Linked DNA regions of Nothobranchius furzeri. The protein of the gene in region 4 purifies or fractionates together with the protein of the main gene of each other region. This does not show direct contact. Links are inferred from orthologs where the notes say so. Each region holds a gene or a part of one and is shown on either strand. Other genes may lie near its edges.

What was found.
Region 1: the proteins of exosc5 (region 4) and c1d purify together in Homo sapiens (affinity purification with mass spectrometry; 4 studies listed by BioGRID and IntAct, counting the BioPlex papers as one, with this or other methods). This does not show direct contact. The link is inferred for Nothobranchius furzeri from reciprocal best matches to the Homo sapiens genes EXOSC5 and C1D.
Region 2: the proteins of exosc5 (region 4) and mphosph6 purify together in Homo sapiens (affinity purification with mass spectrometry; 6 studies listed by BioGRID and IntAct, with this or other methods). This does not show direct contact. The link is inferred for Nothobranchius furzeri from reciprocal best matches to the Homo sapiens genes EXOSC5 and MPHOSPH6.
Region 3: the proteins of exosc5 (region 4) and hbs1l purify together in Homo sapiens (affinity purification with mass spectrometry; 3 studies listed by BioGRID and IntAct, with this or other methods). This does not show direct contact. The link is inferred for Nothobranchius furzeri from reciprocal best matches to the Homo sapiens genes EXOSC5 and HBS1L.
Region 5: the proteins of exosc5 (region 4) and dis3l purify together in Homo sapiens (affinity purification with mass spectrometry; 5 studies listed by BioGRID and IntAct, with this or other methods). This does not show direct contact. The link is inferred for Nothobranchius furzeri from reciprocal best matches to the Homo sapiens genes EXOSC5 and DIS3L.
Region 6: the proteins of exosc5 (region 4) and zinc finger C3H1 domain-containing protein purify together in Homo sapiens (affinity purification with mass spectrometry; 3 studies listed by BioGRID and IntAct, with this or other methods). This does not show direct contact. The link is inferred for Nothobranchius furzeri from reciprocal best matches to the Homo sapiens genes EXOSC5 and ZFC3H1.
Region 7: the proteins of exosc5 (region 4) and exosc10 purify together in Homo sapiens (co-immunoprecipitation; 8 studies listed by BioGRID and IntAct, with this or other methods). This does not show direct contact. The link is inferred for Nothobranchius furzeri from reciprocal best matches to the Homo sapiens genes EXOSC5 and EXOSC10.

The regions. Positions count from the first base shown.
Region 1 is NC_091752.1:37,833,640-37,837,843, forward strand, and holds the start of c1d (nuclear nucleic acid-binding protein C1D), read right to left. Parts: upstream 2,801-4,204; 5' UTR 2,731-2,800; coding exon 2,708-2,730; exon of another isoform or gene 2,588-2,707; intron 2,416-2,587; coding exon 2,271-2,415; intron 1,332-2,270; coding exon 1,265-1,331; intron 830-1,264; coding exon 774-829; intron 692-773; coding exon 488-691; 3' UTR 1-487. UniProt on the Homo sapiens protein: Plays a role in the recruitment of the RNA exosome complex to pre-rRNA to mediate the 3'-5' end processing of the 5.8S rRNA; this function may include MPHOSPH6.
Region 2 is NC_091744.1:80,075,428-80,079,436, reverse strand, and holds the start of mphosph6 (M-phase phosphoprotein 6), read right to left. Parts: upstream 2,801-4,009; 5' UTR 2,649-2,800; coding exon 2,601-2,648; intron 1,908-2,600; coding exon 1,795-1,907; intron 1-1,794. UniProt on the Homo sapiens protein: RNA-binding protein that associates with the RNA exosome complex. Involved in the 3'-processing of the 7S pre-RNA to the mature 5.8S rRNA and play a role in recruiting the RNA exosome complex to pre-rRNA; this function may include C1D.
Region 3 is NC_091742.1:448,477-452,424, forward strand, and holds the start of hbs1l (HBS1-like protein), read left to right. Parts: upstream 1-1,148; 5' UTR 1,149-1,321; coding exon 1,322-1,364; intron 1,365-1,904; coding exon 1,905-1,970; intron 1,971-2,652; coding exon 2,653-2,784; intron 2,785-2,930; coding exon 2,931-3,182; intron 3,183-3,464; coding exon of another isoform or gene 3,465-3,948. UniProt on the Homo sapiens protein: GTPase component of the Pelota-HBS1L complex, a complex that recognizes stalled ribosomes and triggers the No-Go Decay (NGD) pathway.
Region 4 is NC_091753.1:58,582,384-58,584,732, reverse strand, and holds the end of exosc5 (exosome complex component RRP46), read right to left. Parts: coding exon 2,211-2,349; intron 884-2,210; coding exon 794-883; intron 693-793; coding exon 597-692; 3' UTR 501-596; downstream 1-500. UniProt on the Homo sapiens protein: Non-catalytic component of the RNA exosome complex which has 3'->5' exoribonuclease activity and participates in a multitude of cellular RNA processing and degradation events.
Region 5 is NC_091749.1:66,618,705-66,622,686, forward strand, and holds the start of dis3l (DIS3-like exonuclease 1), read right to left. Parts: upstream 2,801-3,982; 5' UTR 2,665-2,800; coding exon 2,535-2,664; intron 945-2,534; coding exon 794-944; intron 1-793. UniProt on the Homo sapiens protein: Catalytic component of the RNA exosome complex which has 3'->5' exoribonuclease activity and participates in a multitude of cellular RNA processing and degradation events.
Region 6 is NC_091744.1:80,026,363-80,030,558, forward strand, and holds the start of zinc finger C3H1 domain-containing protein, read right to left. Parts: upstream 2,801-4,196; 5' UTR 2,657-2,800; coding exon 2,113-2,656; intron 1,613-2,112; coding exon 1,211-1,612; intron 1,090-1,210; coding exon 947-1,089; intron 817-946; coding exon 402-816; intron 246-401; coding exon 49-245; intron 1-48. UniProt on the Homo sapiens protein: Subunit of the trimeric poly(A) tail exosome targeting (PAXT) complex, a complex that directs a subset of long and polyadenylated poly(A) RNAs for exosomal degradation. The RNA exosome is fundamental for the degradation of RNA in eukaryotic nuclei.
Region 7 is NC_091755.1:29,805,560-29,809,059, forward strand, and holds part of exosc10 (exosome complex component 10), read right to left. Parts: intron 3,481-3,500; coding exon 3,290-3,480; intron 3,178-3,289; coding exon 3,021-3,177; intron 2,310-3,020; coding exon 2,161-2,309; intron 2,026-2,160; coding exon 1,975-2,025; intron 1,886-1,974; coding exon 1,774-1,885; intron 1,695-1,773; coding exon 1,647-1,694; intron 1,561-1,646; coding exon 1,485-1,560; intron 906-1,484; coding exon 814-905; intron 730-813; coding exon 637-729; intron 556-636; coding exon 487-555; intron 405-486; coding exon 299-404; intron 232-298; coding exon 158-231; intron 1-157. UniProt on the Homo sapiens protein: Catalytic component of the RNA exosome complex which has 3'->5' exoribonuclease activity and participates in a multitude of cellular RNA processing and degradation events.

The DNA.
Region 1 (4,204 bases), on a different chromosome or scaffold from region 4:
TTTATTCTTTTACAAATGTGCTGCACCTGATGTTACATTTGAAAATATAGTCTATAAAAAATGAGTGGCGTAAGACAACTTTCAGCTGAAATATCAATAAGCAACTTTTTGATGCAGTTTTTGGCTTAAATGCTAAAAAAAATTCAAATAAACTAAAACTTGTTGGCCAATAAAATATACAAACTCAGCAAAAACACAACTTTTGATTTATTGAATAATTTTCAAATTAAAAAAATATTTTTGAATAAAGTCATGTTTCAATATCAAGATAAGCTGATGTGAATCTTGACCACTTGCTGTCAGAGATGCAACACAATCACAGATGATGTCTCCAGGAGAGAAAAGTTCTTTTTGTCTCCCAGTGAACAAGAGAAGATTGTTACAATGTTGATTTCTTCAACACCAACTGGTTAAGAAACAAAAAAAAAACTGCCATCAAAATGCCTTTTAGTCCAAATATCAGTGTCTGCTGAGCAAATCCTAAAGTTCAGCTCTGTTTTGGGCGTTTTGCGTTTGAGATGTCAGAAGTTGCGTCGGCCGGTTTCTTAGAAGCAGCCTTTTTCGGTTGTTTGCTCTCCGGATCAAAAAGCGCGTTCCTGAGAAAGCGTGAAGCAGCTCCTTTATCCAGACGAGCAGCTTTCTTTTTGTCAGTGATCTCTTTGACTCTGTTCATGTAAGTCCTTATTCGTTCCTGATGAACAGGGATGATTCATGGAGATTAGACCATCAGAAAAAAAGAGAAAAGCATGAAAACACAGAGAAGAAACACCCACCAGCTCCTGTTTGATCCCATGTTCTCTTGGGTTTATTCCTTGAGTCACCAAGTACACTAGAACGAAAAACAAAAGTTAAGACTGCTTTTTCTACAGGGGCATGATAGTTTTTCATAACTATTTTCATTGATCCTACAATATTAATAGAAATATTTGAAAAAGAAATAAACACCCGGAACAAGTCCATGCCTAGCTCATAAACAGAACTAGAAGGTAAAAAAAAAAACATTTTATTCAGGCTGGAAATTTAATGCTCATTAAATTAACAAACATCCGAGTAACTACCTTTCCACGCTTTCTGATATGACTATGTGAGTTACAAGCAATGGAAATTCAATTTAAATTTATATAGCGCTAAATCACGACAACGGTCGTCTCAAGGCACTTCACACAGTAAATACAGGTCAGTTCATTATATTACTACTTATATTATATATAAGGAAACCAGGAAACATTTATATATGATGTAATTTTTAAAGGAAATTTCTTACTCCAGAATAATGAATTCAGAGTGTAGACAGACATCAAATCCAACTTGGCTTGGTCCAAAGGATCAAGCTGTGGAAAATTAGGAAAAAATAGCATCACATTTTCTATTTAACATCAATTAAACCGGTTAAGTATTTTTACTAATCCATGTGGATCAGTATCCCAACACGCCGCTTGTGATTTCTAATATTATATTACCTTCTCAGTGGCCTAGTGGTAGAGTGTCCGCCCTGGGACTGGGAGATCGGGATTCAAATCCTGGTAGGGTTATACCAAAGACTTTAAAAATTGGACCTAATACCTCCCTGCTTGACACTCAGCTTTAAAGAGGTTGGACTGGGAGGTTAAACCACCCAATAGTTCCCGAGCGCAGCTACAGCTGCAGCTCACCACTCCCCACGGAGACGGGTCAAATGTGGGGATGACTTTCACCAGTGTGTGACGACTAATGGGACTTTAACTTTATTAAGTTACTGTTTAAAGTTTTTATGTCAACCAGCTTTGATCAGGTTCAACATGGGATGCTTTGCTTGAACATGAATGAACAAAACTCAATACCCAGTTTGAATCACATTTTAGGAACAGTGTCAGCTGTTCAAATGTCTCTTAATACCAGCTGGTGTTTATTTATCCTGGCTGTAATTCTTGTTTGCGTCAGTGTTTCATAAATTAGTTAAATAAACTTGTGATATTAAAAAATCCATTAGCAGGAATGAGACAAACTGATCTGTGATCAACTGTTGATAAATAAAAGTAGATAAAATGAGCAGGGATCATCCTAGGACTCATATAGACAGATGTAAATGACTCAGATCTGTATCAAGGACTGAAAAAATAAAATAAATCATGATTGAGACTCTCCGTATTAATTATAAGTTGAGAAAAACTTTGACATGTGGCAATGTCACTGTGTTCCATTACCAAGCGGGGCACACTGCCTTATTATTATTAATATAGTTCCGTAATCTTGTTTTAGATTGTCCATCCGACACTTTACATTCGCTGTACCTTTTCCAGCTGATCATTCCTGGACATGGACATCAGTTTCTCCAGCATGGTTTTCACCGCATTAACGGAGGAGTCGAAAGTAGTCAGCTGTTCGTCTATTTCGTACGGGTAGTCCTCGAGGCTCCTGCTTTCTGCTGCCATTTTCCTGTAAAACGGTAAAAATAAGATCTCATAAATCCCCGCTGTAACTCGGACACACAAACATTCAGATCTCTGACACATTTATAGCCACTAGCTTGGGCTGGTGCTTCCCCATCAAATCTACGGGTCCTCGCGCGCAGTAAATGAGGAGGAAAAGTCATCAAAGATTAACTTACTTATCACAAAACAGTATGAGCAGACAGGCAAACGTCTTGTAAATCTTTATATCTACCTTGTTAGAACGAAACACGCTTTAAAACGACAGGAAATGGCGTTCAATAACAAAGAGCACGCACCCCATTCTGCTCTCTTCTGCCATCTGCTGTCTGGAGGAACGATGTTCTTCTTCGCCTTAAGTTTCTTCTTCTACCTTTTAAAGATGGTAGATGAACAACGCTTGATGCTTCCGCCACCCACCGAAACGGAGTAATTGACGTGATTCGAATCTCCGAATTTGCTGGTAAAACTAAACTAAAATGTGCAAATAAGACGCCACGAGACTGACACAGGTTTTGATAGCTACCATACATGTTTGTTAACGTTAACCTTTAACTATCATCAGCTACAGAGAGGTTCAGTATCACTTTGCTGTAATTTAATCATATTTGCCATTCACGTTAGCGTTTTTATATCCTGCTAACTAAATAAATAACTACACACCAAGTCAGTTCATTTAAAGTGAGTTAGTATCACTTTAATAAGAAAGATCTACATTTACTGAGAAAGTAAAACTAGAGCCGAGGCCATCGTTACCATGGTAACCCGGGGCGTCAGCATGCTAAATGAGCTTGTTTGGTGTGCTTTTAGGGTTTGGCTGCACACGCTCTCAAGCAGTGAAGGCTGGACATGGACAACTGTGATTTGGAAAAGCTCTCAGTCTCTGATGGTGAGCTCCATCTTCTCACCAGAAGTCACAGACTACCAGTGACTGTGGGGAGCAATGTCAACAAAGTAACTCTGGGCCTGAGCACCAGCGACTGTGGAACATCATACAGTATTGTAAGTACTCTCCTGCGTGTTTGGAGAGCTTTTATTTAAATTCTTGTCAATTTTTTTCCTATTAACCCTTTCAGAATCTGTCTTTTCAGCTGTCTGGTTACCGCCCCAGCACTGTTAAACTGAAAGATGGGCTGAACAGAGTAGAAATTGAGGTTGTTGCTGAGGATGGCACGCTAAAAAAATACAGAGTGGAAATCTCTAAGCTCTCGCCAAAGCTTGCAGAGCTCACTAATCTGGCCCTTCAGACCCAAAGTTTATGCATACACCGGTGAGTAAAGACTTTTCTGGATTTATCTCTGCTGTTGTCTGATGCTTACTCAGAAATGAGCCATTTTACCTGTGTAAATCCATGCTTCTTGGTGGCTATGTGTATTCAAATTCACTTGAAAATATAATAGATTGTTTTTAACTTTGCAGTAACATTTTTCTATGGTTATGGTTCCCTTTTATTATAATATGGTAAGGCCCCTTCCCAAGGTTCCAGACAGTCTTATAAAAGTAACAGTAAATGGGCAAAGCAGCTCAGAACCAATTCCCCTGAATGTTGGATACTTCTGTGGAGATCTCAGTCTGTTCAGCAGATGGTGCTATTTCACAGGTATGATAGTTTATCCCAAATATGAATCTGATGTCACATAATCTGTCCTTGTGACCAGATAAAATGTAAAAATCACTCACCAGAATACATAAATCTTCACAAATGTCCTTTTTACGCCTCAATTAAAGATTCATTTCATTGTAAAGGGTTTTGTTTTTTTATTTATGTTTATTGTTTATGTTTATTCGACTTACAA
Region 2 (4,009 bases), on a different chromosome or scaffold from region 4:
GTCATCCACACGAAAACTGATCTTTTTAAAAAAACTCCGGCCAAAGTGAAGATGTGCGTTTTCTCCGTGTTGGGTGTCTGCGTGTGGACGGACAAAACCGGAGTTTTAAGGTCCGCAACGTCACTTTCTGCGACAAAGCAATGCTGACATCACGTGTGCGACCTGTGTTTACACTAGCCGACAGCATGGATGCCCTCAGAGCTGCGCTCGCTTTATCAATTGTCCAAGCGCTTTCTGCTTGTTTGTTTTTGCAAGAGGAATTACTGCTCCTTGCGGAAGACCACAGACGAAGGACGAGGTTAAGAACGGGGAAAGTACTGCCGCCTACAGGTCTGGCATGTCCTTAACAACGTATTTATCCAGGTACGTGTGGACAGTTTGTTTTTAAAACGAGGTGGTGTGGATGCAAGTTTTTGGAGGGGCGGATATTCGTTTTTAAAAAACCCCGGCTACGTGTGGACTAGGCCACAGTCTCATGACAGAATAAAAAAAGGGAAAGGCCCCACATGACCAGACACAGACAGGTTGTAACCATCTAATGACTTTTGAGGTTGTTTTTCTTTAAAACAAATCAGCGCGGCGGCGGGGCCCGAGGAGCCGGGGAAGAAGCACTGGCCGAGCGAAGGTGCAGTGAGGAGGAGAGCCGTCCTGACAAATAAACGTGTGTGTGTGTGTGTGTGTGTGTGCACGCGCTGTTTACTTTCATAATGCAGTAAGTAAAATAAGACAAACCTCACATGTCTCGAGTCACAATGAATTTGCGCGATACTTCAAAGCCTTGTTTACCGCTGCTACCAGAAACATTGAATGGAAAGAGAGGAGGCGGCGGCCATGTTGTAGCTGCGGAGCGTCGAGGCAGTAAAACTGACAAATAGGGCTGGGCGGATCGAGCTAAGATATCGATAGTATCGATCTAACGTTGGTATTGAGTATTTACTAGATACCTGCGTGATGGTATCGATTCCGTTTCTTCTAGCCTGGCAAGCATTGATTTACTCACCGCTACAGATGTCGGTCAACGAGGCAGTCCACCAAACTCCGTCAAAGAAGATGCAAAACACATCCTTTTCCTAAATAAACGTTAGTACTTCTATCTGATCTTGACTCAAACAAAAGCTAAAAAGTCATAATAGTCCAAACTTGACGCCAAAGCCATTTCAAACGAGCGGCTGACCGCCGACTAGTCAGTAGTGCTGTACGATACTGCAAAATTTGGTATCGATCCGATACCAAGTAAATACAGGGGCTAGTATTGCCGCCCAATACCAATACTTTTTACTACTAATCTAGTACCATCTAGTTTTGTGGGAATTATTAAGATAAATAGGATCAATAAAATTTGAGTTTTCAGACAACATCCTGCCTAAATAATACATTTATTTAGTCTGGCTTGCCAGGCTAGTGCTGGCGCGCTGTTTTACTTTTTTTTTTAATGTAACGGCGGGCTGCCCCGTTGACTGACATCCGTGGCATTCCAATCAGTGTTTTACTGGTTTGTTGGGCCAATCACAGTGCTCTTTTAGCGAGGTGGGAGGGATGTCCCTGCAAACAAACATGGCTGCCGCTCGAAACTGTCCAAACATAGGTATCAGCCAGGTAAACTACAAATAAAGATGGCTGCTGTTCTGTAGTGGTCCAATCATGGCGCTATATAGATTTCATGGACCAATCGCAACACTAAGTAGGCAGGATGTTATTGGAAAACAAAAAAAAAAAAACGTAGATCCCACCCCATTATTTAGATCTGTCTATGGGTCGTGGCTCGCCAGGCTAGTGGGATTCCTGTTCTCATACTCTTTAGATTTGAGCTCCGGCAGGTCCAGGTGCCAGTGTTCATCACTGATGATCCTCTTCTCGTCTTCGTCCAGCTGCTTCTTTGTCTCAGCATCCAGTCCCCTCTGCATAAACTGAAACACAAAGCACACATTTACTCAATCTGGACCCAACCAAAACCACCGTTAGCCAGGTCCACAACAATGCTGCCAAGATCATCAGCTTCCTGGAAGATCCAGAACTTCTAAAGTTGACTTCCATCAGAAATCTTCTCTCTTCCCACAACTCCTGGTTCTCAGGCAGCAGCAAGTTTGGTTCCTTCCTAGAGGTTCTAACAGTAAAACAAGAGGCACAGCTTTCCCTTCCCAGGCTCCTCTCTGGCGGCCACCAGGTCTCCCAGAACCAGTCGGTCCATCCTGGACTTGATTCTGTAGGACGTTGCGTGGTGCTGCTCAGGATGGAGGACGTGTTGGGAGTGAAGATTCTAATCATTGCACCAGAAGCTCTGGCTTTTTGTGAGCTGTGGTTCGGATTTTTTTGGACTTTGGTAGAATCTTCTCTCAGGTTCGGTCCTGGTTCAGAGTGGTCCAGATGAAGGAGGCACATCCCGCTCCTCCACGGGTTCACAGAGATCAGATACATCTCTGAAACACGCCTAAATCCGCTTCGTCTCGTTGCTTTACCCCGAATTCAAGTTCAGTTTCAGGGTGATAAACGCTGCTTGGAGTCAGCATCTGGGAGGAAACTAGCGTCTTCTTATCACACATCAAACGTTCATTTCTGTTTAGTCAATGACGTTCGGCGCAGAGCTAGCAGCTAACGCTTACCTTCATCCGCAGCAGGTTTTTTGACAGTTTGAATGAATCTTCCGCCATATTGTGCCGATTAATTTATACTAATTTAAAGTAAATCCGAACTCATTCAAACGAACTCGTTTAGATCTAACAATCAGCACTTAGCATTAGCCACTGGGCTAAGCGCTCACCACAGTCTGAAACAATCGAACATTGATGCGCATGCATGGTCGATGTTAAGGATGATGAATCAAACACGAGCAGCTGTTCGAATTGGATCCTGGTCATCTAACCTTTTCTAGAAAGATAAAAGGACATGACCGTGAAAACACTCGAAGATGAATTTGTGTAAATTATTTCAGTTTATATGTTTGTTTGTTTAAACCGAAACACATTAGCCAACAATAATTTAAAGACCAATGTGGCTAGCTTGAAGCCCCTCCCATTCACCATGGTAACACATGCTGGAGACAAGCCCCCAAAATTCAGCGCACAGATTTCACTCACAAACGCAGAAAGGTTCACAAATGAGAAGCTTTTCGTAAATGCACGTTCAGCAATTCGGATGATCTGTGAGTTTATATTACAAGTGTTCTTACAAATAATATTTGTGAACCACAGAGTGTGAACTTCAGAATTAGCGTGTGCATTTGTGGAAAATGTTGCGTGACTTATTTTTTCACATTATATTTATGAGTCAAAGAGTGTGAATTTCCGAATGAGCTTGTGCATTTGTGTTCCTCCGAATTATATTTGTGAAACACAAGAGTGTGGCTTTCCGAATGAACGTGTGCATTTGTGGAAAACGTTGTGTGACTTAATTCTTATGTCACTGCTTCCACTCCAGTCGGGGTTCTTTTTCCCCCCCCCTCTCTCTCTCTCCTCTTCCTGAGGAGGATCCACTCCCTCTTTCCTATTCACTCTCTCTCTCTTTCTTTACATTTTTAATCACAATTGTCTATTTTTTGCTCATTTTAATTTAATCATTTTCTAAATTCTTTTTTCTATTTTACATGTTTTGTTTTTGTGAAGCGCCCTGTGATTTTTATCTTGAGAGGCGCTATAGAAAAGATCTTTTTTTCTCTCTCTCTCTCTTAATTCATGCACTTAAATATTAATGTTCTGATTTTATTGAAAAACTTGTTCTGTAATAGTTCCTTTACTATTGTGATCAAAAACATTTAATCTCAACTCTGAGGCTGCTCTGTAAATAGTTTTCAAATAAACAATACACATAGCAACTTCTGATCAAACTTAAAGAGCAAGTAACGTCTAAATTAACTTTTTTTTGCTGATGAACTGTATAAATGAGTGTCTAATAGTGTTTTAAATGTGTGTATTCATTATTTTAGCATTTTGGTGCATTTTCTTAAAAAATTAAAAATTCTGCCTAAATACCACAGTATAGCTCCACCTTCAGCTTAAAACATAGAATTTGACTC
Region 3 (3,948 bases), on a different chromosome or scaffold from region 4:
CTGTCCAATTCGTGATTATCCATTAATAATAATCCACTAATACCTCTCTCTTTGAGTTTATCTCCAGAATGGAGTCATCACAGGCATACACAATGAGTGTAGCCGTGGCTCTCAATTCATCTGTGTAAAATAGAAATCATGACATTTGATACAATTTGAAAATTTTTTAAACAAAATTACGAACCATAGCATCATTCTTCTCTACATTTTTATGATATTTAGACAGAATTTGTTTCAGAGAAACTCCACAAGCCGTGCGACACAGGAAAAAAACACTATGGTGACCGCAGCAGTCGGATGCTAAACTCTGTAGCTGTTTATCTTGATATTGTATTCTTGAACAACGTAGTGCTAAGATAGCAGGAAAAAAATATGTCAGTCTAGATTGTGTATGTGAGGTGTTGTGAGCTCAGATGGGCTGTTCTTTAACCATGGGGCATAACCTTTGACAGGATGATTGTTGACATTTGCACCCTTCTTAGACGGGACATAAAAGTGTGTTGCATGCATGATGGATCTGTTAAGTTGTTTCTACGACTTGCTGAAAAGAAAATGCTCGCTACTTTTTTCTGCATCTTCTTCTCTTCATTGTTTGCTCTCACTTGATGGCAGATTGATAAGACCTGAAAATGCAATTTCTTGGAAAACTAAATTAGTTTGTTGGAAAAACGATGATAGAGCTGAACATTGCAGTTTTGTAACAAAATTTTTTTAACTGATCAACAAGTCAAAACAACCGTTTCAAATCACATATTGAAACAGGTGCGTAATTATTTTTAGTAGAAACTGTGATGATTTTTTAAATTCACAGATGATCCCTACAATGAACACAATCTAAAGTCATAATAAGTTAAATAAAGGTTGATAATCGAAGACATATATTTAGCTCGTTGTTTTTTATGATTACTGTCTCCGTATCAAATTAATTTCTAAGCTGTATTAGTTTATTTGTCCAAAATTAGTTTGTAAATATTAACTGACCGTGGGTCCGTTTGAACTGCGCCCACTCAGAGCCGCTCCTGTCAGTAGAACTGATTCCAGTACATACAGGAAGTGACGTCAGCGGAAAAATCTTGAAGTTATCTTTTTTTAACTTTAATACGCATTTTGAAAATTTGTATGATCCGTTGTGAAAATATAAACGTTAGAAAACATTTTACATTTAGCTTAGTTGTTTTCGGTGCTGCTAAATAAATCGTAATTCGTACACTCGTTGTTGAAAACTACACAGGAGCAAACTCAATGGCAGCCGCGGTGGTAAACACATGTATGTGAGCTGAATAACATCTACACCGGGACCAACAGAGGACAGAAAGACGAAATGTCTCGCCACAGAAATGTTCGAGGTTACAACTACGATGAAGGTAGATTACTTTAGTCAGTATTTGTTGCTTCATTCGTTGCCTTCAGACTGCTAAACACCTTAGCCGCTAGGCTAAAATTAGCTAGCTAACGCTAGTTCGACGTTCACCTGCCAAAATAATAATGCTGTCGTGTCATTTGGCACCAAGAAAAAAAAAAAGACAAATTACACCTCAGTACCGGCGTTTATGTGCATATCCACTGATTCAGGTGTTAACGTAAAAACCTGAAATCAATGAAAACAACTTGCATGATAATAAATGTAGCGGCTGCTATTCAGTGATTTGTTAGAAAGCTCTAAACGCATGAATTGTACAAGTTTCATCTAAGACAGCTAACATACACTCAACGGTTACGGTTCTCAAACCGGAGTAATTACCCGGCGACCATCATGCTAGTTAGTTTGTTGCGGATTTTTAAAATTGCTGACAAGGCAGAGTGACATCTGGCACAAAGCACTCTGTAACAATGATGTAAAGAAATATTTGGCAAATGATTAAAAGCACTTATTTGACCTTGTTCTTTTGTATATTTTTAATCAGATTTTGAAGATGATGACATGTATGGACAATCTGTGGATGATGACTACTGTATATCACCAGCAACAGGTTGGTTTCCAGTGACTCATTAAGAGGAAATACTGTATTAATAAAGGACTGGTTTAGTTTCCTTCTGAGACCCTTTCTTAAAAATGTCCAGTAACAGATTTTAAAGTCTTTACTGTAACTAAAGTGACCAATTACTCTGATCAAAATGCCAGCCAGCCAAATAAAACAACCTATTCTAATAGGTCTTCCCATGTTGCCAAAACTGCTCAAATAGAACAAAAGATCGATATTGATCACCTCTTCAATCTCTGGTTATCAGTCACCTCTGAAAAGAATGATGAAAAATCAAAATGTGACCTGTTTGTATTTACATGTTTTTTTCTATGTAGCATTAGTAAAATTCTGCATGGACACAACTAATCTGCAGCTATGTCTATAACTGAGTCAAGTTAACACATTATGGGCTAAAACTTTGTTGTTTGATCTTCAGTCAATCCAATTAAAGTTAATCGAAAATTTCTAATAATGAAATGGCTTCAGTTTAGTCAGTCTTGAAGATATTGAGCGGTAACTCCATAATTTGTCAACATGGGATGAGGATATACTCCGACATGAAAATGATCAGACAATATGCGTTTCTTTAAAGAATGCTGGGTCTTTGATTTTTCATCTTTTGGCTGATGCTGTTGTGTATTACAGGTTTGCAGTCAGCACTTAATTAAACAAAATTTTGTTCATTTAGCTAATCAGTTCATTTACTCACGTCGAGAGCGACAAGCCCCCAAAGAGGAGCCTTTAGAGGAGGAAGAGTATGAAGTGGAAGATGTTCACATGTCCCCAACAGCCGACCACAACCTTGACCCTCTTAATCAAGGTACTCTTTTTATTTCACTGCAACTACAGACAAAATGTTTTTGGATTCTTGTGTATACATTTTTTATGTTTTTACATATGATTGATCCTGCTGAATCGATAGTTTTTTTCGAATATATTTTTTCTAACTCCCATGTTTCGTTCTAGCTAAGCTGTATTCCTGCCTGGACCACATGCGGACCGTGCTCGGAGACGCAATGCCAGACTCGGTGCTGACCCAGGCTGCAGTCAGACATGGGTTTGACCCGCAGAGGGCATTGGATGCAGTCCTGTCTGAAGACACCAAAACGGCCCCGGTTACCAGAAGTGCAAATGAAGAGATGACATCAGTCAGTAGAGTTTGTCAAGAGACGACGCCTCTTCCACAAAGAACCAAGCAGGAGATTGTGGCTGAGAAAGGTACGCCTAGAGTGAATCAAACCTGAAGTTTTATTTGTTTTAAATATTGGAAATGAGTGAAATCAGATAATAATCATTAATTCTGTATGCTTAGCACTTTATCACTAAGAGGGATTTACTACAGGCTCTATTGATGACACATTTCCATCATGCATGTGTTTAACAAAGTGCCTTGTTACTTTTTGTTCTTGCTTCTTAAATGTGGTGTGATTCATCACTTCTGCTCATGTGATCCTCTCGTCCCTCCTCTTCGACAACTTCGCTTGGCTTTCGTAAGGTAAGGAGCCTGCTTGTCTGCTTCTCACACAGACACTACATCCACGGCACATAAACAAACACAACCAAGTGCACGAAACCTCTTATCAGCGCTCGAGACCGGGCCTGCAAGTAGCAGCTGTGCAAAGAAACGTTTTCAGCTTGAAAATGCTCATGGAGGCGTCGGCGGCAGCACCAGTTTGGCTCAGCTCATGTGTGAGCACGAGCGAAAGAGTAAAATGAGCGCAGTTGATAACAAGTTTTGCTTAGATGTTTCATCATTGAGTGTAGCTTCCAATTCATTGCCGACTATTCCTAATCAGAGTAGCCTATCACTTGGAACTCTGGCATCTTTGAAAATGTCCTCTGAATCTAACACAGCAGCTCCCTCCATCCTTTCCACTTCACTCAATAACCTGTCACTAAACACCCCCAAGGTGAGAAGCTCCACTGTAGCTCCTCCTCCTGAGTTTGGAAGTCTCAGTTCTGTTCCGCATCCATCGACGGCCGA
Region 4 (2,349 bases):
GCAGAGGGCGACAACGTCCTCTGCTGCCCGCGGATAAACGACGTAGGAAGTGACGCCACCATCGGCGTCAGCTCTGACAAAGTTTGCAGCCGCAAACGAAACGCTGCAGGTAAATAAAACCTTTCTGTTTTTAAAAGAACGGAAAGATGGAACGTTTTAGTAAGGATGCTACGCAACGTTTGATCAACGAGACCCCCGGTCCAGAAAAGAGAACCCAGTTCTGTTTTCATAGCCGACTACAAATAACTGGCTTTGTCATACGAAGGCGGAGGACATCTTGTTCTCGTCAGATGATTCAGCTCCACTGTGCCTGCACGTCTTCAACATCCTACAGAAACAAACCTTGTTGCGTCGTGGGACAAATAAAAGATTCCTGTCGCTCTGGTTTCCATCCACCCTAACCCGAAGGCGTTTCCATCGAGTCAGTCAGACGGAGGTTCGGTCACTCTCAAGTGTGAATATTTGAATTAAATCAATAAATCCTAATGAATGCACTTAAATGAAAAGATTTTCCTCTCTTTTTATTTGAAAATAATTAATAAAAACTGAATATTTATGCTTTCTATTAAAAGAAGACTTGGAAGGGGGGGGGGGAATCAGAGGTTTTTGGAGTAGCGCCGTCTCACGGAGTCTCTGTAGAACTGGAAGACCTTCTCCGATGCTTTCTGGCTGACGGCTACACATTCCTGCAGCTGTGGACGAACGGAAAGACAAACGACGGAGTCAGAGGAACGAACAGGAAGCCGTAAAGGAATTAGAAACACAAACACACACAGCCCGCTTCATCGCTCACCTCCTGGACCGAAAATGAACCTTTGGTCGATGACATCATCACTCTTCGTTCTGTGCTGTCGATGGCGAAAGTCATCAACGCTCGACTTTCCTTACGGAAGAAAAAACAAAAGGTCAGCATTAGCCTGCGCTGTTACCATTAGCAACCAGCTGGAGGCCCAGAACTACCAAATGAGCTGTTTGAGTCACACTAAACACTTTGTGTATTTCCTAAAATATCTTAAAGAGCAAGTCAACCCCTACCAGAATCTAACTCCACTCCCACTTCATGTTTGAAAAATGCAACAAATGCTGTTGCCTGGCAGACCAAGGGGGCGGAGCTGCTAACAAATACACACACACAGACATTGTGACATCATAATCTACCAGTTTACATCATAGCATACCTCTTAGCCAATAGTGGTGGAAGATTTAAATTAGAATACAATGCAGAGTTTTTACCTGACAACGGCACAACACTGCCAGTTTTAGGCAGAATATTTAAATTTTAACTAAGATGCACTGAAGTGACAAATTATTGACGGCACGTGTCTGCAGCACGATTAGACACTCGTTTCTTTAGTTTATCAGCAAAAAAAAAGGTTATTTGGGGTGACTTGCTCTTTAAAGAGCAAGTCACCCCCAAATCAGCTTGTTTTTCTGATAAACTATATAAACGCGTGTCTAATCGTGCTGCAGACACGTGTCATCAACAGTTTTGCACTTTTATGCATTTTAGTAAAAATTGAAATATTCTGTCTAAAACTGTCAGTGTTGTGCCGTTGTCAGGTAAAAACTCTGCACTGCAGTTGAATTTAAATCTGCCGTCGCTATTGGCTAAGAGGTACCCTGGAACGTTAGCTGGTACCATATGATGTCACAATGTCGTTGTGAGCCTGTGTGTGTGTATGTTTTGTATGGTAGGGGGTGACTTGCTCTTTAACTTGTTTGTGATTTATCCTCGTTATTGTTGCTTGGATGCTCTCTTTTCGGTCTCCAGTCGGTCACAACGTGCCTTCTCAGGTCTTTTCTCAGGTTCCTCCCAAAGTTGTCTCACATTTCAAACAGAAACTAAACAGAATCCTTCCAGGACACCCACAAAGACCCAGAGACCCAGGTGCGAAGCCCTGCGACTCAGGAGGAAGCTAAGAACCTCTCGCAAACATTTTGAGATATTTTGGAAACTCCCTGGGAAATGTAGTCGTGGCCCAGAGAGAAACTCTGCAGGTGAAGTAAGTAAAGGTCAGCACCCACAGGTTTTTAACCACGGATGGATGTGTGGTCTGCTGAAATGATGTCGACTGCACCGGGGTCGTCTGTGCCGAATTCCTGGGAGCTGTTTTTCTACAGGCTCGTCTTCATCAGAGCTTCGCATCAATTAAAACCTGAAAAGAACTAAAGGAGTCTCAGTATTTGCTTCAAATTCCTTTCAGATTTACTTTCTCCTGAGCTGCTGTGGGATCTGCGATGATGTCACCGTCCGCACCGATGGCGCACGTCACTCCACAGAAAAGACAGCTCATGGACAAGCCTGCATCCATCAGAGCCATGCAGGCCGCATTCAGGCAGCAGGACAGG
Region 5 (3,982 bases), on a different chromosome or scaffold from region 4:
GGTCTGGTCGGACGGCAACCGCTGCTTTTCCTAAAGGCTTCGGTTCCAGAGAAGGTCAAGCTGTCATGGCCTGAGGTATATTGTTCCCCACACTAACCCTTCTCCTGCAGGTGGGCGGTGCCGGAGAACTGCCCAGCTGCAGCCACTCAGCTGCAATCACCGGCTGGCTATATGAGGGGCAGTCTGAGACCTACACGACGTCGGATGATTAACTCGTTTGGGTATATGACCTAGTCTCGAGCTCTGTCGCTATCTTTGAGCGTGTTTTGTTTTTGTGCCCTTGCTGATTGCATTTTCCTACAGCAGATATCACTCTACATCATCCCGCCAGCCGATCTCTCTCTCTCTCTCTCTCTCTCTCTCTCTCTCTCTCTCTCTCTCTCTCTCTCTCTCTCTCTCTCTCTCTCTCTCTCTCTCTCTCTCTCTCTCTCTCTCTCTCTCTCTCTCTCTCTCTCTCTCTCTCTCTCTCTCTCTCTCTCTCTCTCTCTCTCTCTCTCTCTCTCTCTCTCTCTCTCTCTCTCTCTCTCTCTCTCTCTCTCTCTCTCTCTCTCTCTCTCTCTCTCTCTCTCTCTCTCTCTCTCTCTCTCTCTCTCTCTCTCTCTCTCTCTCTCTCTCTCTCTCTCTCTCTCTCACACACACACACACACACACACCAGAACCAGCTGCTAATGGTTTGTCAGGAAAACTTATGAGATGTTCTCCATCACTTTGGAATAAAAAAAGACGGTAGACTGGAGTTCTTCAGACAACCCACTTCACCCTCTATGTGTGTGTGTGTTTGTGTGTGTTGTACCTGCGCCCTTTACTCTGCAGAGCCTGGCAGGCCGTCTGGGTGAAGATGACTCCCTGCAGCTCCCTGAATTCCAGGATCTCCAGGAAGTTGACCACCACCTCCACCCCCGGCACCACATAGTGGGTCAAGTCTCCGGGCAACACCTTGCCATCTGTTGAGGGGTCATCAGGTCGTTACCATGGCTACACACAACATATTCACTGTTTTATACAGAAATCAGATGTTCTGTTACACTGATCTACCTGTGATAATAAATCCATCAGAGAAAATACAAATATTAAATTATATCGGTCCTCTAACGTTCGGTTGGACAAGAATGTGAGTCTACCAACAGCTCCAATCCATCCATCCATCCATCTTCTGAACCCGCTTTGTCCATGTAGGGTCGCGGGGGGGCTGGTGCCCATCTCCAGCAGTCAACGGGCAATTAGGCAAGGTACACCCTGGACAGAGAGCCAGTCCATCGCAGGGCAACACAGAGACACACAGGACAAACAATCATGCACACACACACACACACATAAGGACAATTTAGACAGACCAATCAACCTAATAGTCATGTTTTTGTACTGTGGGAGGAAGCCGGAGTACCCAGAGAGAACCCACGCATGCAAAATGAGACCATGCAAACTCCATGCAGAAGGATCCCAGGCCGGGAAGCGAACCCAGGACCTTCTTGCTGCAAGGCAACAGCTCTAACCACTGCACCACTGCGCAGCCCAACAGCTCCAGTCCGAGTCATCAAATCAAGTTTAACCAATCTGCTTGTTAAATCTGTTGGAGAAAATGAAGTTTAAAGCAAAATTTTGTTTAAATGAATCAAAAAAAATCTTTACAGTATGCTCTAATGGGAAACAGGTCTCAACACAAACGGTTGGTTTCTGCTTGGTCCTAGAGCTCAACCAGTGTCAATTTAGTATAGCGTAATATTGTTTTTGGATGGTAAAATGTGCAGGGGTCAAAACTTGACGTTGGAAAAAGTGGGGAGGGACATGCCCCCCCCCCCCCCCCCAATTACGTCCATGCATTTACTGATTAGTAACAAACGATTATAAAACTTTCACTATTAATAAACATTGTTTTACACATTTATCTCTTCACTTGTTGCCACTGATGAAAGGAGGTCTGATGTGCTTGTCATTTTCCTGAAGTTTGCACTCCTCAGGGCTTTTTGACCCTAATAGGCATCCGTTGGTAAGGTCTTACTCCAACACAAAAATGCTGCTTGCTTGCAATGTTTTAGGTGTCTACTGCTCCCCATCAACCAGGAAAAATACACACTGGCACATTAAAGACAGTTTTAAGTCTGTTTGGATCGCTGGTACATATTATATAATAGAACAGTCCTTTGTCTTTATGTCTAACTGTTTTATCTTGTATGTTTTTATCTTATCTGTTTTTCTTTAGTGTAAAGCTAACTATGTGTCTGTTGCTGCTGCATCTTGGCCAGATCATCTCTGTAAACGAGAATGAGCTCTCAATCGACTCATCTGGTTAAATAAAAATAAATAAAGGTTTAATAAATGAAGGACTGGAAATAAAACACTCGTTAGCTCTTAGTGGCTGGCTGTGTTTTTAGCGACTAGATGTGTTTTATCGGCCGGTTTATTTAGTTATTTTTGTTTGTTTTTTGCGACTAGTAGTGTGTTTTATAGACTGGTTGTGTTTGTAACGACTAGTTGTGTTTTAAACGGCTGTTTGTGTGTTTTTAGCAACTAGTTGTGTGTTTTGGCGGACTTACCGTTAGCACAGGCCGCCTGACACAGAGAGCTGAAGCAGGGAACCCGCTCCCTCAGATAGTGCTCCCGAACCACCCGAACCCTCCGGCCTCGGTAACTCTTCAGGTGCAGAATCTTCTCGGTTTTAATCATCCCGAACTCTGAACCGAAATGGATCAGCAGCCGCTGACCCAAAGTTTACAAACCGGAACTTTAAAGTGAAGACTATGTTTTGGCGGACTTGTGAGAGGGAAGCTCCAAGTGTTGTGCCGAAAAGAGCATGCCTGGCGAAATGTGCATCCCCGTTGTGGAAAGGCGCTTAAAAAGTACTATTAATGTAATATTATTATGTTTATCTGCGTGATTCCTTACAAAAAGATCGTTTGTAGGCAGATAAATTAAAGAAATTTATGTTTAAAACATTTTTATTTGAAGAAATAGTAATAAAGTAGTAATAAATATTTTAAAATGAGTAATTTTGTGTCACGTGTGTTTTTTAAGAACCAACAACAAAATAGTTGGGAGAAAGCACAAAAATACATAAAAAATGCTCACTAAAACATTATTCTCAAACGTTCAAAAACGTAATTTTTTTATAACTATTTCATCATATTTGTAAACAAAAACAAAACGCTTTCACGAAAAACACGTAACAGAAGCGTGTTAGCCTCGTCGCTCATAAAGTATTCTAGTTTACCTCTATGCTTATTTCATGGGGATACGCATTTCGGCAGGCATGCTCCTTTCGGCACAACACCTGTTTCCGTGTTGAGAGAGTCGGAGCCACGGTTGGTGCTGTCCTTTTGCGTTCATGTACTGTCGGACAAAAGAAAACTCATGGATTCTCTTCTGTCCCGCAAACAGAAATTCTTCAGGTGTTTTTCAAAAGGTTTTTGAATTTACCAGAATTTTCTGAAATAAACAAAAAGACGACGTTTACAAAATATGTTCTAGGGGTTGATTAAAAACACTTTTATCTGGAAAAGTTTCACATTAAAAAATTGTTCACAAAACAGTTAAATGTTTGCTTAAAGGTATCTGTGTTGAACTAGCCTGGCAAGCCAGACTAAATAAGTATATTATTTGTATTTAAACTTAAAAGGGAGGAATCTGGTCTAGTTTTACTAGCCTAGTATTGAACACCTTTTCTGGTTAGAATACTAAACAGGAAATTCTGTCATCAGCACTTTTTTTCCCCCCTCTGTGGCAAACAGCAAATCTTTTATGATTCATGTGATGAATTTATTGTAGTATTGTGAGAGGTTAAACATTTTACAGGAAGCCTCTAGGTGGACCTAGTGTTCTGGATGCAAAGTGGGGTGTACTTTAACATTAGACAAGCGGAAGTTCGTTGCCGGGAAGCATGGCTGTACCTGTGTTGGAGTAATAAATATTCCCAAAGAACAACCCACTCTCCGTGAGCTTATTCTTGCCACCAGAGGATATTACATTTATATACAATTTTAAAAAG
Region 6 (4,196 bases), on a different chromosome or scaffold from region 4:
TTAGCACTGTTAGCTCTCACCTGAACACACCTGGAGCAGAGCTCTTACCCTGCCTCGTGTCCTCTTCCCTGCGACCAGCTTCATGAACCGGTTGTACTGCTCGTCCTGGTTGGACAGGTCACGAATTCGACGGATCTCGTCCTCACGCTTGCGGCGCTCCTCCTCCTCCTGCTGCTGCTTCCTCTGCTGCTGCAACTTCCAGGTGTGAAGCTGCTGCTTCCTGAAGGCCTGCTTGGCTGCAGGACCTGGCAGAGGCAGGTAAACAACAGCTCCATCAGTGGTTCTGGTGGGTGAACCAGAACCCCAACCCGTGGTCCAACCCAATGAACAGCCGAATCCCAAAAGAACTCTCACACACAGGCCCCGCCCTCTTCCTCTACCTGCTGGACGGCTGGTCTCACCTGGACTGATCAGCCTCTTGGTGTTGTGAGATCTTCCTGGAGTCCTGGCCCGGTCAGGCAGGACTCTGGGACCAGGTTTTGGACTCTGTTTGGTTCGGTCTCGGTCAGCTTGTCTGGGTCCAGTCGTGGTTCTGTCTGCTGCTTTGGACCTGGTCCTGCTCCTGTCAGCAGCAGCAGCTGCAGCAGCAGCAGCAGCAGACCTGGTGATGACTCGCTGCTTGTCCGGTGCCGCTGCTCCAGAACCAGAACTAGAAGTGGAGCTGGAGGTTCTGTCCTGGGAGGCTTTAGTGATCCGGTCTTTGCTATTCTTCATCACCTGCTGCTCCTTCTGCTGCCACTTCTTACTGGCCGACTGCAGAGCCAGGAGGCGGAGCTGCAGCTCTGACAGCTCCTCCTCCTCTATCTTCTCTGGAGGCTGAGAGACAACAGAGTACTAGCATTACTGGGTTGGGTTTAGAACATGGAAGTCCAGTTCATGCACACAACTTCCTGCGTCACCAGGTAAACATCTAGAACCTGCAGGATGGTGGACCATAAGAACTCACCTTGTCAGGTGAAACTGTCGAGTCCTCGCTGGAAGCAGAGGATTCGCTGGGAGCAGGGTTGACTTCCTGATGTTTCCTGGCTTTGTCAGACTCTGCAGAACCAGGTCCTTCCGACTCCGGGGCCTCTGAGCTTCTCGGGGGTTCTGATGAATCAGAACACAGGAAGTGTGACTCACTAGCCCACATCTCAAACACCACAGTCCACCATCAGGTACTAAACTCACTCACAGGTAAACTCGAGTACCTGTCATCATCCAGACTCACCCTCAGCACCACCACCTGCTTCTTGCTCCTCCCACTTGATGTGCAGCTGGTCCAGTTCTGCAGGTGTAGGAAGTTTCTGACGCAGAGGTTTGATGTTGAACGCCTGGAACACTTTCCTTTCATCCTTGTCCTGCTGATCGTTCCCTTCAGGAGCCCCTTCTGGTTCTGGTCTGAAGTCTGGCGGAGCAGCAGCACCAGTACCAGCAGCACCAGCAGGGCCTTCAGAAACTGGAGAAGACTCTGGCTCCAGCGCCATTGTCTCAGCCTTCCGGATGCACTCCAGCTCCAGCTGGATCTGTTTGTATTTGGTCAGAAGGTCCTCAAAGCTTTCGTCCATACTGGTATCGGTTCTGTCAAAAATGGCCGGTACTTTCCTGACCCGAATCCTCCCTAAAGGCCACTCTGGAGGCTCGAGTCAGGAAAAGTCCCACTTCATCAATCCTGATTAAATTTGATTACAACAAACTTTTACGCATCCTGAAGTTTACATGAAAGCAGATCAAATATTTAAGTGTTGAAGAAGTTCTGATAATTAACTATTCACCTGAAATCCCACACACATTACACACACGTAACACACACACACACATTACAGAATTACACACACACACACATTACACACACACACACACACACACGTAACACACACAATTACAGGATTACACACACGCACATATATTACACACACACACATTACAGAATTACACACACACACACATTACACACACACACACACACACACGTAACACACACAATTACAGGATTACACACACGCACATATATTACACACACACACACATACACATTACAGTATTACACGTCACACACGTTACCACTTGTACCGCTTTGTGTACACAGTAGGAACCACGCAGCGCCTGACTCGCTAACGGAAACAAGGATACGTTTCTTTGACGGAGACCCGTGACTCTCTCCCGGTCCGTGGCGACAGGGGGGGTTTCTGCTGTTCCCACCCGGACCGCCTCGAATCCAGGACCCGCGTCCACCGTTCGGTGTGACTCGGTGCCTGAACCGTCCCAGGGCCCCGTGGCTCCGCTCCCAGAAGTTGGATCGGGGGCTTGACTCGCAGTGCAGACCAGGTCCAGGTGACTGGGGCATGGACATCCCGAGTGGAGCGGGCAGAACAGGAGGTCGTTCAGGAACGTTTTGTTCGCATAGCTGCCGGTGGTTCGGGAGGAACGGGCCGTGGAGGTGAGGTCCGGGGTTGTAGGGCAACCGGAGGCTGAAATCTGGCAACGAGTGGTCCATGAGCGGTCGTATGTACGGTTGTTTGTGCGGCTTTCTTGGCCGGGGACGAGCGCCGCCGCGCGGCCTTCTCCCATCCCCCCGCCGCACCGGAACACTCTCTTCGATTTCGTCGTCGCAGATTTCACCGTCTTCGAGCTCGCCGTCCTCCGCCAGAGACCGATGGGCAGTGTTTGGGTCCATGTCGGGATGAACGTACCGGGGCCAGCTTGCTGTGCTGTGGATCAACGGGCGGGCGCGGGGATTCTTGGTTCTCCGTCTTCTCCAGGTCCTCTGACAGATACGGGAATTAGCACACAGAGGCTGGAATGTTAGCCCCAACTATCGCGATGTAAGCTTGTTGTACGAGACTTTGCCACCTTCTTCTTCTTCCCCCTTTCTATTGCGGTTGGTCAACACCTTTGCGGTGCATTCGCGCCACCACCAGGACCAGAATGATACTAAAGAAAATATCCGCGTTTCTTCCGATAGCACGAGCCTGGCGGGCAGCGGAAACCCCGACTGATCACATATGTAACGTTCACATATTCATTTTTACGGTGAATCATCCGTATGCTTTGTTTGATCACACATGTCCTACAAGTTAAGGCTACGCTGAAGGAGATTATCAACAGGCCAGATTAGAGCATCTAAAAGCTGTTCAAAGGGACAAGGCCAGGGCAAAGGGTCATCGCAACCTTGGCAGGGAAGATAGGACAGGAAGCAGGGAGTGAGTGCAGAGAGGAGTGCCAGTTACCAAGGCAACGGGTGATGGCCTTCAGTAAAGCTAGGGAGGTGTCAGCAGGAAACTGCAGGAGAGAAAGGATAAAAAGTTGGGCATCTTGTAAAATCTTCAGACTTGTCACAGGAACTGGAGGTGGCAGAATCTCCCCATGCATTACGGGTAAATAAAGTGTGGATGATTGAAATATAAGGCAACTTGGTGGCTTACTTCTTGCCCAATCAGAAATTAACGAACCAGGAAGGTAGAACAACATTTTGAGGAGCTACACCAATTTCTACATCATTGTTCCTCTAACACCCACCCACCACCAACATTTTTCTCCACAACACCAGCCTATCTCCTCTGCCCTGAGGGCTGTCCCACAGAGCAGCTCAGAAAACTGAGGCTCCCTTGAATTAGCATACCAGTTCATATTTACATAGCACCAAATCTTAAACGTACACTGTTTGAAGGCAAACATTCCAATGAACCTACTTATAAGTGCACTGAGTTCAGTTCATTAAGCCAATCAGTAAAAACTTTCCTATATAAGGAACCCAGCAGGTTGCATCGAGTCACTGACTAGTGTCAGAGTCTTTACAGTGTAGCGTTATGAACATGCCATTTCTGCCCTTAACAGCTGCCCTTTGACACAGTGACAGTGTGCATAAATTGCCAAGGTCGTACGCTTGCTTCTGGTGTTTACATTCCAGCAAAGAAGACATAAGAAGGACGAAGAATAGGGCTGCAACAAACGATTATTTGGATAATCGATGATTCGGATGGGGTCTCGACACGATTAATCGATTAATCGGATTACATGGGGAAATTTTTAAAAACTGCTAGGGAAACGTTATTTCTCTCCTTCCTTCACTTTATTTAACACAACATTATTAGAAAACAGTTCAATAGAAGAAAAACAACATGCCATCACCTAAATTGTCTTATAAGTGTACAGACAGAGACCCTAAGCTACATCTATCTGTGACCTAAAATGCTTGGTCCAATTAAACAGCTTAA
Region 7 (3,500 bases), on a different chromosome or scaffold from region 4:
AACTATTAAACCGACGTCTTTATGACGCTGCAGCCGGCGCCGCGGCCACTTCCACACGGGCTGAATTTCTAAACAAATTTCTACTTCACCAGAAAGGACACGACTTTCATATCAAGTAAAAACAAACAGGAAATGAATGGGAGAGTAAATAACTCACTGCTGCTTGCTGCCGCACAGTTGGGACCTTCTGGAGGGACTCCTGGTAGCTCCGTTTAGCTTTAGCTCGCTGCTCTGTGGAAACAACAACAAATGATGTGACTCTGCTTTAAAAATTTAAAGGATAATTGAACCAAATTACCTGATGCTTTCTTTGCTTGTTGTTTTGCTTCCTCTCTGATTTTCTTCTTGGCCTCCAGCTCTTTCTGCTGCTGCTCAACACTCTGAAGTTTCCATCTCTTGCTAATCTGTTAAAATAAGAAAGAACATCCATGAACATCCAAACAGGAAAAAAAACCTAAGCACTAATCAACAGAGGGCTTCGATCACCTCAAATATTTTTGAGGATGGGTCAAACTTGGCGTTCTTGTTGACGTGGACATCAGCTGAAGGCAAATACTGGGATAGCAAGAGGAAGATACACGATTATTCAGTTAGTTAAATAAAAATGTGAATTAGGTTAAATGTTCCACCTCTAACCATTCTGAAAGGGTTTTCAAAAGACTCAATGATGCGTCTCGCTTTCATCTGAGCGACAGACATGGATCTTTGGTCATTAGGAGCTTCTGGTTCCTTCAGGAAGAAAAAAAAAACGCATTGTTATAAAAAACAAATAAACAAAAGCTGAATAAAATGCAGTAAAATAGGTAGAGCTACCTGGAACAGCGTTATTTTAGGTGGTGCCGACAGACGGATTGTTTCCTCATCAACATCCTCTGAGAACAGGACCCCCTTTTTAACAGATGATTCTGAAAAAAAAAAAACAAATAAATAAATAAATCTTTCCTGAAACACTTTTTCCAGGGTATCTGCAGGTTTAAGGGAGCCAAATTTAAGACTTTTTAAGACATTTTTAAGGCCACTTTGACCAAATTTAAGCTGTTTTTGAAATTAAATTTAAGCTATGATTTCCAGCTATTGCCTGGAACGTCGCGAACGTGGGATTAGCCATCCAGTTACCATTAAACTTGCACTTTCCCATGGCGCAGGCTCCCACTAGCTTAACCAGCTAATGTGCTCATCTAAAAATAGTCCCCTTTCACTGAATGTGTACGGTTCCGCTTATGCCAACATCGTACACAAAAAATGCTGAACACTAACTAGAAATTCACGAATTTTTTTTAGAAATAAAAGAATCTTGTTTATTGGGTCTTTGGTAATTTAAGACCTTTGTAAACTGTATTTAAGGATTATTTGTCATTTTTAAGGACTTTTAAGGCCTTAAATTTGGAAAAGCAAATTTAAGACTTTTTACGACTTTTTAAGGACCCGCGGATACCCTGTTTTTCACTGAAACTTAGAAAAAGCACAGTAACTGTCAAGCTCACCGTCAGCTGTAACTTGTGGCACTTCACCCTCAGAAACCTTGGACACATCATGTGGACCAAACAAAGAGACCTCTGGCTGCAACATAAAAAACAAAACATGAATTTTCCCCAAATGGTGGCTGTCTGTAGCTGCTGGTGTCGCCCATTCAGCCTTCAGCTAACCTTCCTAACGGGCGTGAGTCCTTTCTTCTTCTGAGCTGCAATCTCAGCCTGTGTGAAAAGTGACAAACGCATCAAACCATGACAGATTCAGGCACAGTGACAGCGCAGAGCATCGGTGGTTCCTCACCTTCAGCAGGGGCATTTCTCTGGCTTGTTGCACCAATGAATGCAGCTCGTTGACCTGCTGCCTCACCAGCGGTGGCACGGGGATACAGCAGGCGATGATGCCCTGAGGCTCTCTGAGGAGGCCCGACAAATAAAAACACAAAAGTTATTTATAATAAATTACCTTCTGCAGTGATTTTAACGTAAAATCTACTGGACTTACTTGGGTAATTCCTCTGATATTTTGATCATCATGTGGGTGGGCAAAACGTATCTGAACACAAATAAAATCACATTTAAACACCTTGGAGCAGAAGGAGCATTAATATTTGGTTCTTTGCCGACTGTGCACACACACTCCTAATATAAATAAGCCGCTATGATAGAACATCACTTCACAAAGCCTTACCCGGTGCTTTCATCTTCCTGCCTGGCCAGCTTGTCCCTCCAGGCAAACAGGAGTCTGAAGGCAGTGAGCTGCTGAGTGTTAAAGGACTTTTTCTGCTTCCTCTGCAGCTCTAAATAAGACTCCTCGGTGTAGATGGGCTTCAAATATTTCTGTTTAAAAAGGAGAGAGTCGGGTCACACAGGGGAAGGAGACACGTGACATGAGGTAAAAGAGAAAACTGTGGGCAGGTGATAAAAACGAGAACAACTTTGTGCAACAACCAGGACTAGAAAGAGACACCAGGGCGAGTTTTACATGCTACGTTTAGACAGACTGGTGTCGTATCTGTATCATCACAATCCCTGCTGCTGAATTTATGGGACATCCTTCCTGACACTCAAAACATTTATAACACACCAATCTGTGAAATCATGTTTAATATCATTTTAATGTAAACAGCCTGTAGCTGTAAAATACCAAACCCATTTAGAATTTAAAATCCCAGAATGCACTGGAACAAGCTTCCTTCTGCTGCTGCAGTCATAAACTAACAAAAAAAAAAAACAACTATGCTTGCCTTAGCATCTAAGTTATATTAATAAATAAAGCGATGCATATTTTCTTTATGAAGATTTTGACATAAAACATCTAGAAAATCGGGGGAATTCCTTTGCAAAAAAAGCAAAATTTGACCCTCGGCTTGGACAAAGTTCTTAGATTTAAAACACAACAAAATGTCACTCCACCCCTAGAGATAATGTCAATTAGAAAAATAATAAAAGCACACCAGAACAAACAGAAATGATGCAAAACAACATGGACTTTAGACAGAAGTCTCCAGACCGCTTGTGCATGTGAGAGTAAGAGACGTTTGAGCAAACCTTTAATGAAATGTCTCGGCTCTTGTTCCACACACACTGCAACAGTCCCGGCTGCCCGTGGTTGCTGTCTAAAAGCTGCGCTCTCACACAGTCGTAGATGTAAAGGAGGTAGTGGGTGTCTGACCGAGCGTACTGAATCATCTCCTCTGGCAAGGGGCTGCAAGGACAATTAATACAAATTTCTTTTTGAGTTTCAGCTTTCAAAAGATATTATTATAAACATTTTCTTGTTGATTAATGATTAAAAATGTGTCCAGTTAACAACACACCGGATCCTCCAGTCGGCCAGCTGGTAACGTTTGTCCGAGTCCACGTCGCAGAAGTGTTTCAGCAGGTGGTCGAGGGAGTGTCGGGCCAGGTTGAGAGCTCGACTCGCCTGATGTGTGTCAAACAGGTTGACGACGTACAAACCAAAGTCCCTCTGGAGCCACTCGATGTCTGAATCAGCGCCGTGGAACACCTGCAGAACAGAAAACCAAC